Linked DNA regions of Schizosaccharomyces pombe. The gene in region 1 interacts genetically with each later gene. Each region holds a gene or a part of one and is shown in the gene's direction. Other genes may lie near its edges. The genes, in order: swi1, wss2 and tel2.

Region 1 (3,600 bases):
GCTTCACGATTGTATTTTGGTGATCATAACATTGAGGGTATGTTTGCCGTGTTGAGACCATTGCATGAAATGTTGGAACGTGGTCCGGAAACGCTTCGTGAAATTTCTTTCCAACAAGCCTTTGGACGTGACTTAGTCGAAGCAAGGGATTGTTGTATCCGTTTTGAGCAAACTGGTGATATATCAGACTTAAATCAGGCCTGGGACTTATATTACCAAGTTTTCAAGAAAATTCGTAAACAGCTACCTCAGTTGACAACATTAGATTTACAATACGTTTCTCCTAAACTCTTACATGTACATGATCTTGAGTTAGCTGTTCCGGGAACATACGTTAGCGGGAAACCTGTTATAAGAATTGTAAAGTTTTACCCTACATTCAACGTGATAACATCTAAGCAACGTCCGAGACGACTGAGTATTAAAGGCAGTGATGGAAAAGATTATCAATATGTTTTAAAGGGTCACGAGGACATCAGACAAGATGAACGTGTTATGCAGCTATTTGGGCTTTGTAACAATCTGTTACTAGCTGACCCGGAAACTTTTAAGCGCTTACTTTCAATCCAAAGGTATCCAGTGATTCCTTTATCACCGGATTCAGGCCTTTTAGGCTGGGTTTTGGATAGCGATACTTTGCATGTCTTAATTCGTGACTACAGAGAAAGCAGAAAGATTTTACTCAACATAGAACATAGGTTGATCATTCAGATGGCTCCAGATTACGATCGTCTCACTCTCCTTCAGAAAGTTGAAGTCTTTGAATATGCCCTACTTAGTACTACGGGGCAGGATTTATACCGCGTTTTATGGCTGAAGAGTCGTAGCTCAGAAGCTTGGCTTAATAGGCGAACTAACTATTCTCGTACTCTTGCGGTGATGTCAATGGTAGGGTACATCTTAGGTTTGGGCGATCGTCATCCTTCCAATTTGATGCTGGACAGGTATACAGGTAATATCATCCATATCGATTTTGGAGATTGTTTTGAAGTAGCAATGCATCGAGAAAAGTTTCCCGAGAAGATTCCTTTCCGCCTTACGCGAATGCTTGTTAACGCAATGGAAGTTAGTGGTATAGAGGGGACGTTCCGGATAACATGCGAACATGTTATGCGAGTTCTTCGTACTAATAAGGAGTCTGTGATGGCAGTTTTAGAAGCTTTCGTTTACGATCCTCTTATTAACTGGCGCCTTGCTCCTGCATATTCACCTTCTATCGATGAAAAGCAATCTAACGAACCTAATACACTTCTCGGTGAGACAATTGATGGTTTACACCGGAAACGCTTAAACGAAGAAGGAATTACACTTGAAGAACGTCAAAAACCCGAGATACTCAATCAAAGAGCTATAACCGTTCTTAATCGTGTGTCCAATAAACTTACTGGTCGGGATTTCAAACCCCAACAGCAATTGGATGTACCAAGTCAAGTAGAGAAGCTGATTTTACAAGCAACCTCTATAGAGAACCTATGCTTGTGCTATATTGGCTGGTGTAGTTTCTGGTAGGTGACAGTCCCAAACGTTCAAATTGCTTTTCTGCCGCATCATATATATATTCTATATTAAATAAAGTGTAAATAGTCTTTATGAATGAGTCCTGTAACAATTTATTACGTTGTTTTACAATTTTACAAAATAGAGGAAATGTTGAATTTGACGCAGAATTTTTAGAATTTTGTAGTAGAGAATGCATCTCTTTATATTGTTATTAAAGATTTGCTGCTTAATCATTCTGAAAATAATAAACTCTAAATTTCTACATCTGAAATTGTGAAAATTATTGAAACTAAATTCTAATTATGCATTGTACAAGTTAGGTAGCAAATTCGTTTTGTTGAGTCCATATTATCGAATTTTATAATATAATACTGAATGCCATTTTAATGCGATTTAAATTATAAAGTGTTTTACTTTACACACATTTTTTTAAAAATCCAAGTTATTTTGAAAAGTTAAATATTGTTTTAAAAATTTATTATTCATTGTTTACTGTCACCACCCCTCTTCACGTATCTACAATCAAATTTACTTATCTTAAAAGAATACGATTATTCATGAACATAATTAATATCGCTTAATTATTAAAATTTATTTAATTTCTTAAATTTGGTTTATTTATCGACGCATACCGACAATACAAAAAAAAGGAACTTGAGAGCTTTTGATTTAACAAATCAACTTGAATGGAATTAGATGAGGTGATTCAAGGCATTGTTTCTGCCATTGGAGGATTTGACTATTCAGACGATGAAAAAGTGTACGTTCTTGGTGATGAAGCTTTGGCTTGCCTAAAGGATCTGAAGCGCTATCTTCAAGTAGTCGATGAAAAGTACAAAGTTTGGCAAATTCGATCTTTGCTCTCGAGCTTACAGTTGGTAACTAATGATATATGTCCAATACTCTCTGACTGGGATAAAGACATTACTAATTACAGAAACTGGCGTATCGCTTTAGCTTGTGTTGAGCTTCTTGTACCATTAACATGGCCTTTGGAGACTGAGCATGAAACATTCAGAGAAAATGTTGATGTTCTCTATAATCTGCGTCAAGCTCAATCAAATTATAAAAATTCAATTTTATCTTACAAGAAGGGGAGCGTTTTATCCGCCATTTTAGCTGTTTTACTAAAGCCCTTAAGTACTCCCGCAGAATCCAGAACACTTAGAGACAAGGGAATAATCAGGATAGTGCTGTTACTATTTCGAAACATTCTTCAAATCGATGAATTAAAAACAAAAAATGAAACAATTATCTCGTTTGCGAAAGCTCATATATTAGATTTGATTGTCACACTGGTCTCGAATCTCGATGAATTTGAGCATTTTGATGTTTACATATTAGAAATAGTCTACAACTTGATCAGAGGTTGTAAGCCATCAGCCCTTTTCTCTGATGCCTCATTGACTAACTCTCAAACCGAACTTAATAGCTTACTCCTCAAAGAGTCGACCCAAAATCGCTATTTGAAACGAAATGCACATACGAGGCATAATAGATTTGGAACCATGCTTTCTGTTCAAACTGAAGACAGAAGATTTACTATTGCTAGCCAAAATATAAAAACCGACGGCCTTGATGAGCTTGACTCTCATAAGCGTTTTCGAAAACGAGGAACACGTCGAAAACATTTTGTATGTACTTAGTTAAACACGATGTTTGTTTAAATTTTTTTTTCCAATTCAACTATTCTATTCTAACAATATTAGGATGACATAAACAAATCGTTCTTTATCAATACCGAGGCAGGTACTGCATTAAGGAACTTTGCTGTCGAATTTTTGGAAGCTGGATTCAATCCATTATTTCAGTCTCTCTTAAAAGACTTGGAAAGAGAAGATCCTCGTGTGCTTCCAATTCATAAAATGCAATTATTATACGTTCAGTCATTTTTTTTGGAATTCATGAGATTTTCGTCTAAACCAAAAAAAACAGAAGAAATTTACTCTAATGATTATAGTTTTGGCTTAGCAGCCTCCGTTTTTGACCAACGAGCTTTGATTATGCACAACAGGTTAATGGTAGAATCCTTTGAAATGAAACAATGGAGCACCTTCCAAGCATCCATGCTTTCGATGACTCAATTACTTTTCACTCTTC
Region 2 (3,344 bases), on another chromosome or scaffold:
TATTAGACCCATTCCTTTCTACTCACAAGCGGCTCTACGAACGTATCCTCTACCAATCGCCTCTCCGAAAAAGCAATTTAGCAGCAAAACAACATGTCTGAACAAGAAGATCAAGAAGCACCTAAGCAGTTTACTTTTGGTACAGGTAAGAGCTCTATATTATAGGAAGCAAATGCTAACGTTGACATAGTTGGGTTTGATGCAAGGTAATATGACATTGGTGATATTATCATTAAACAAGTTACTTACAATATCTTATTTACTATATAGATTCCCAAACACTAATCAAACAAAACGTAAGTTGTTTTTTATTGAAAAGACGTTTATATGTTGTCAATTTTTGTTATAATGAGGACTCTTTTTAACACATTGCTACGATAGATTGCTTCCAAAGTTACATTGATTATTTCCGCTGTATTAAGGCTAAGGGTGAAGACTTTGTCCCCTGTAAACAGTTTTGGCACGCTTATCAATCTTTGTGCCCAATGGGTAAGTGCTTTTTTTTGGAAGGTTAAGCGGTTTCGCTTGTTAAACTGCAAATATGCTAACAATGTTTCGACAGAATGGGTAGAACGCTGGGACGAACAAAGGGAAAACGGAACCTTCCCGGCCCCTATCTAGTTTTGCCTTTCTTTTTTATCGATGACTACTGTAGCGGACATGAATACCAAATCCGTTCTTTTGAAATCATTCAATCAATAGTATATTATGCTAAAATTTGTGCTGATTCTTTTAATTGAAAACATACTTTTTCTTTAAACCCCTTGTATTGATCTTTGTTATATGTTATTAAACGATTCATGTATATATTCATTGCATTCGTGAAAAGTTCTATTTAACAGTTTAAAACTAATCGAAACTGATGACATAAAATGAAGAGCGTGAAATCTTGCTGGATCTCATGTGTTTGAATCAAATATGAACAAATTTGCTGAACATGGCATGTGTAAATCCATAAACTATTATTACTTTGGATTTAGTGATTTTATTATGACCGTCAAATATCTTAAACCTGCTTAATTGAAGTATGAATTAACTTTGAGTACACTTTTTATCGCTGCTTATAGTTGTCTTCAAAATCTAAAATTCATGTGACTTACTTACGTTCATCCATCGTATCCATTATAAAAAGTCTACCGTACAAGAAACAGAAATTTTCTAAATAATTCCAATTTATCTTTTCAAGTCATACTTTTGAAAATCGTTAATCCACATTCAAGTTTGAAACTATGGTCCTACTAAACATGGCTGGTACCTTTTTTAAATTAAATTGCTAAGTCTAAAACACCACTATAGTTCTTGACTTTGTCGCGCTTTTCTACAACTCACTTCCAGAAAACTACAATGGACTCTAGCATTGCTGGAATTTCATAGAACAAAAAGCTGGCTGTTCTTAGTCAGACCAGCAAAATTGGCCACCATCAAGTTATTCATTTCGGTTATATTCAGGCCACATCTACCTTACACAGTCTAAATCGTAATGTATGTATATATATATTAGTACTATTGTCTATTGACTTAACCACTACCAATTAATAAGCAAAAATTACACTACTCTCTTTTCTTCAGTTTTTACTGATAATATCTTTGTTTTTTTTTTATATTCAGCTCAATTGTTTAATTGGGTCAAACAGATTTAGAAATTTTGCTAATTACCAAATTCACATGGAGTTGAAATTTAGTTGCAGAGGAAATGTAATTGCTCTTTCATTTAATGAGAATGATACTGTGCTGGATGCTAAAGAGAAACTTGGCCAAGAAATAGATGTGTCTCCAAGTTTGATTAAGCTGCTCTACAAAGGGAATCTTTCAGATGACTCACATTTACAAGATGTAGTCAAAAACGAATCGAAGATTATGTGTCTAATTAGACAAGATAAAGACATTGTCAATCAAGCCATTTCTCAATTGAAGGTCCCTGATTATAGCACGAATACATACAGCTTGAAACCGAAGAAGCCTCATACTACACCAAAGCCTGCAAGTATATACACATTTAATGAACTTGTGGTTTTAGATTATCCTCACAAGGATCGTGCCTTGAGATATTTAGAAAGGCTGCGAGACGATACAGGCATTAAAAAAATTATGGATTCTCATCGCTGGACTGTCCCGTTACTTAGTGAAATGGACCCTGCTGAACATACTCGACATGACTCTAAAACTCTGGGACTCAATCATAATCAAGGTGCACATATTGAATTACGTTTACGTACAGACCGTTACGATGGTTTTCGAGATTACAAAACTGTGAAAAGTACATTAATTCACGAATTGACGCATAATGTTCATGGAGAACACGACTCCTCCTTTTGGGAGCTGTTTCGTCAACTAACAAAGGAAGCAGATGCAGCAGATTTGCTTGGCAAACCTGGTAGTTATGTTAGTGACCGAGCTAGTTATACTCCTCAACAGGATAATGACGATGAAGATCAAAAGAACCACAGACGAGACTTACTGCTGGCCGCTGCGGAGAGGCGGAAGCAATCAGGTAGTAAAGTCCAAAAGGAGTAATGGATTCTTTACTACTTATATTTTCAAATTCCCCTATTTATTGTCTATGTTTATAGTTTCTTCTAATGAATGCTGTCTTGTTGTTAAACATTTGGAGTGATTTGTACTATACAGAATAAAGGAACCGTATTGTTTGGGAATCGTAAATCTAATTCATGTCATAGAATATAGCAGCTATCACTAGTATGAGTCTTTCTAATTTCAGGCTGTGTAATACCATACGTAAGTTTAAAAAAACAACTAATACCTTGGAATCTCATGGACAAAGGGTGGACGAACTCGTGTCTTTTTCATGTAAGTTGTTACTGAATAAGAAAGTGAAAATGGACTTAAAAAGCAACTTTTGCAACAAAACATTGCTAGTGCTTTTTTTGTATAGGAAATATAAAGAAAAAATAAACCTAACACTTTCAACTTTATACTTGGTCGAGATAATCACGAATCTCCGACTGGGACAATCGACAAAAATGTCCGCCTGGTACGCCAACGATTCCACTATCCGTAGGTTTCGTAGAGACTACTGCGATCTCGATGTTATCTTCAGTTAATTCACCCTCAAAAGTTTCTTTTAAAGCTAAAATAGCTGTATGCACGGCATCATCCAACTCAAGTTCATCATTGTAACGCTTTTCTAAAAATGTTTTAGCAGCTGTAGATGATTTGCCGATAGCTGTGGCTTTCCAAGCAAAATAGGTGCCCGAAGGATCAACTTGATAGAGAGAAGGACCTTTTTCATCCATTCCTGCAACCAAGAGACTAACACCAAACGGACGAACACCACTAAATAATGAAGTTAGCTTAAAGTAGAGTAAAAAAAAAACAGAATAATG
Region 3 (3,840 bases), on another chromosome or scaffold:
GTGCGAGGAGTCAAAGTTCGTGGCTTCAAAATTTTACTAGAAGTATTTCCGGTTGAAACGGCATTTGTAGTAGAAGATTCGACGGGAACATGAAACACCTTTAATAAGTTTTCACAGGCAAGAATCTCTTCCGTAAAGGCAGGAATACTAGCCTCTTCTAACTTGCGTTGAGCAGCAATTCTTCTCTTCTCCTTCTCACGATTTTCACGCTCAAGACGAAACTGTTCTTGTCTTTTGGCACGTTGTTCACGTTCATAAGTACGGAATGCGCGCAATTGGGTATCGTACTCACGTTGTAAAGCTCTTCGTTGATTATATAGATCATCGAGTGCAGTCTTCTCATCATCTCTTTCTGCTATGAGCTTACGCTGATCTTTATAGTAACCGTCTTGTTGCTTACGAACCTCATCAAGCTCAGAACGGATTTCTACGAACTTGTCACTCAACTTCTTTGATTCTGAATCATTAAGTTGATCACGAAGCTCGTTAAGTTCATTTCTAATCGTATCAATACTAGTTTGAAGAGCGTTCAACTCAACGAAGCTCTTTCTAGTACGATTGCACTGAGAAATTTCACGCAGGTATTTCTTCTCATCAACAATCTTTAAAGTTCCTGAGTCAACGGCGGCTTGAAGTTGTTTAACATGTTTATCAAGCTCCACTTCTGACTTGAAAGGAACAGTTTTTTTCATGGCAGTCAACTCCTTAACCTAAAAGTATGTCAGTAAACATTTTGTTTCTTTACCAAGCTCATAAAGTTTTCCAACACAAAACTTTAGTGCTTACATATATTAATGCAAAACATACCTTCTTTTTCAAAAGTTCATCTTGAGCCTTGACTTTGTTGATGAGAGTTTGCTTAGAAGAACGGATAGCTGCTTGAGCATTGCGAATATTGTCTAATTCAGCGCGAAGTTCTGCATTCTTCTCCTGCAATGAACCACCACCGCGAATGGCACCAAGCTTCTCCTTATGCTCATTCTAGTTGATTAGTTAAGATGCGAAAACTATATAAGAAACAAGTGATTTTTTGAAGCTTTCATAGTTATGAAAAAAAAAAAAAGCTTAGCCTTCAATATTCAAGAATTTAAAACTACTTACGAAACGCTTTTTCGCCTCGTTGATCTTAGCATCAAGCTCCTCCAAAGCCTCCTTGTGAAGAGCTTCATTAGGACGAACGGGTTTATGAGATGACATTTTTATTAAGGATTTTGTTGTTGGTGGTGGATAGTGGTGTGTGTTGAGTTGTCGTTTAACGAGTATATAACAAGGCAGATAAACTCCGTTTGTTTTGCTTCCCTAGAGTTTTCGTTCGCAGTGCTGTGAAGGAGACTACCTGTTTCTGAAATTTTTATAAATAGCTTTTTGTTGACGGTTATTCAGACATCGTGTGAAGAGCAGTCTAAGGAAAAGATTACGATAATACATGTTATGATATTTTTTTTTTATTTATTTAAATAAACTGGTAGTTTTTTGCACTCGTCCACGTATTATGTTTAATATTTCAATTTAAAAATCCTGAATTGTAAATTTAGTGACCTTTATTTGCAATGTGTTGACTTGAACGAAACAAGAAAAATTAATGCATTTTTTCTCACGGATTAGCTTACCGATTAGCGGAGCATTAACATTTAATTTGGGAGGTACACAAAAACAGTTTTAAACTAAAAGTTACTTGCTTTTTAAAAGCAAATAGAAATATTGCAACTAGTCTTATAAAGCAACAGGATACTTCACTTATAGAAAGCGAATTTGAAAGCATAACTATCCATTCTTTTGTTACAACTATTGCATATAAGCACAAAATGTCTTTAAGTTAAATTATACATAATATCCTTTTTCTGTCACGTAAATTGTAAGTTCCTATTCAATTTCAGGCTGTGAAAAGTCCGTGAAAATAATACATCGAAGAGCTTTACAGGTTTCACAGAATATCCCGATGCTACCCATGTAATTGTTGCATACACCATTCTCAGGAAGTTTAAGAGCACAATTTAAAAAACTATATGAATTGAGTTCAAATTACCTTTATAGAATGAAAAACAATTAATAGAATTTAAAGTAATTTACATGGACAACAAATTAAAAATAACTATATACTTTGTAAAGAGTTTTGGTGTTGTTTTAGCCAAGCAGCCTATAATCCTGCATATTGCTGATTGCTGACCGGTGAATTAATCCACCGAAGGTTACTGTCTTCTCAACACCCCAAAATAATTCGGTTATTTTTCAACTCCAAGGATATGAAATCCTTTGCTAGCGAACTATCCAAACCTATTCAAAAGCCGCGTTTAAAAGAAATCCTTAAAGAACTGCAGCATATAGGTGTTCCTTCTCCTTGCAATCTAAGATTATATCATGAGTTAATTAGTGTGATAGTGCCCACATTCTGGAATGGGAAAATTAATTCAGAAATAGATTTTCTCCTTGCAAAATGTTTTTCTACTCTTTTGGGCTTAAAACTGCTATGTGTTCGACTAGATAATTTTGTTCAAGAGGCTAATTTGCAAAACATTCATCTTGTTACAGTTTATCTTGAGCTACTGGAAAAAGCATTTGAATGTATAGACCTTGACGATAACTGTAAATTGATATGGGAATCTACTGTATTATCTGATCATCAAAAGCAATCTTTGTGGACTGAATTTATTTTTTTCTTGGGAAACTTTAAAATTACTAATTCAATGTCTGCTGCAATGCTTACCTTCAAGGTTTACGATGATTCAAAACGTTTGAAGGCTTCATCAATGGCCGACTACATTGGCGTTTTATCTTCAAAATTGGCTTGCATTATATCTAAACCTGCTGTTAAAACCCCAGAAATATATTCAAAGCTATTCCATTATTTATTACACTCATCCAATTTAAAGGCATTCATTAACCCATTGATTCCATTAACACAAAAATTTTGTGTTCAGCTACAAAAATTATTTGCAGATTTGACGGTCTCTGATCAAATGTTGTTTCTCAATCAACTTCTTCTTGAACATAATACCAAATATCCCACCAATTTTTCATATTCCACCGCAAGAGATGATCGTATAACAGGTTCATTGGCTACATTATTAAGGCTGAACTTTTCATCCACTCACTTCCTTCGATTAATTGAATTTTATTGGGGCGTCCCTACAAATTTAATAATTAAAAGGGTAGAAGTAGTTTGTTCGAGTATATCTTATAAGGAATCTGATAAAAAGGAGCTAGAAAAAACAGTGGACTCTCTGTTTAATATATGGTCAAATGCGCAATTTTTGAGGAGCTATACGCTGCTAGCTCAAGAGAGCTTAACAATATATTTATTACTATTTATTCCGAAACTTGAAGCAAAATATTTGAATAATCTTTCCAAATCCCTAATGTTCTCCAATGCAATATCTTGCCGTTTAGATAGTCTAGATGATGATATTCGAATGCATGGAATGATAATGGCCGAAGTAATCTCTACATATTCGGGTGTCAGCTTAAGTAACCCGTTAGCCTTTGACGTTCCAATAATGAAGACTACGAAAGCAAAAGTTCTCAAATCGTTGAGCTCACTCAAGGATGAATTTTTGCCTATTGAAATTTTGAATGACGAAAGTGTTATCGCAGAGACTTCGATAGAAAAGGAAGAGACGAATGTAACTCACTTGGAGAAGCCAGTGATTTCTAAAAACGATGACTTAATAAGGGGAGATGACTTGGAGCCTTACGATTTTCCTGATATTGACAGTGAGGACACGGACGACGATCCAACTGTCTCTAGATCCAAGACGCATTCTCCTGTGTACGTACAAGATTTGTGCAAAATGTTAAAAGACACAGAAAGTTTTGAGAAACAACGTGTTGCACTGGAAAACG

The links.
Region 2: mutations in swi1 (region 1) and wss2 impair growth when combined (synthetic growth defect), as found in Schizosaccharomyces pombe (one study listed by BioGRID).
Region 3: mutations in swi1 (region 1) and tel2 impair growth when combined (synthetic growth defect), as found in Schizosaccharomyces pombe (one study listed by BioGRID).

Annotation. Positions count from the first base shown.
Region 1 is NC_003423.3:913,180-916,779, reverse strand, and holds the start of swi1 (replication fork protection complex subunit Swi1), read left to right. Parts: upstream 1-2,000; 5' UTR 2,001-2,186; coding exon 2,187-3,134; intron 3,135-3,150; exon of another isoform or gene 3,151-3,209; coding exon 3,210-3,600. Other genes in the region: TORC1 serine/threonine protein kinase Tor2, read left to right, coding at 1-1,509. UniProt on the Schizosaccharomyces pombe protein: Forms a fork protection complex (FPC) with swi3. FPC coordinates leading and lagging strand synthesis and moves with the replication fork. It is required for programmed fork-pausing which is necessary for mating-type switching.
Region 2 is NC_003421.2:1,778,782-1,782,125, reverse strand, and holds wss2 (ubiquitin/metalloprotease fusion protein), read left to right. Parts: upstream 1-1,524; 5' UTR 1,525-1,665; coding exon 1,666-2,514; 3' UTR 2,515-2,604; downstream 2,605-3,344. Other genes in the region: cox12 (cytochrome c oxidase subunit VIb), read left to right, coding at 94-145, 191-206, 271-296, 382-489, 563-621; proteasome core particle subunit alpha 2 Pre8, read right to left, coding at 2,931-3,294. UniProt on the Schizosaccharomyces pombe protein: Metalloendopeptidase that acts selectively on DNA-binding proteins. DNA is needed to bring the protease and substrates together to enable proteolysis.
Region 3 is NC_003424.3:4,732,619-4,736,458, forward strand, and holds the start of tel2 (TTT co-chaperone complex LRR repeat subunit Tel2), read left to right. Parts: upstream 1-2,202; 5' UTR 2,203-2,243; coding exon 2,244-3,840. Other genes in the region: SPOM_SPAC458.02C (mRNP complex protein), read right to left, coding at 1-710, 808-981, 1,102-1,197. UniProt on the Schizosaccharomyces pombe protein: Component of the TORC1 and TORC2 complexes required for the regulation of the cellular respons to changes in available nutrients. Required for normal entry into S phase. Regulates activation of the DNA replication checkpoint.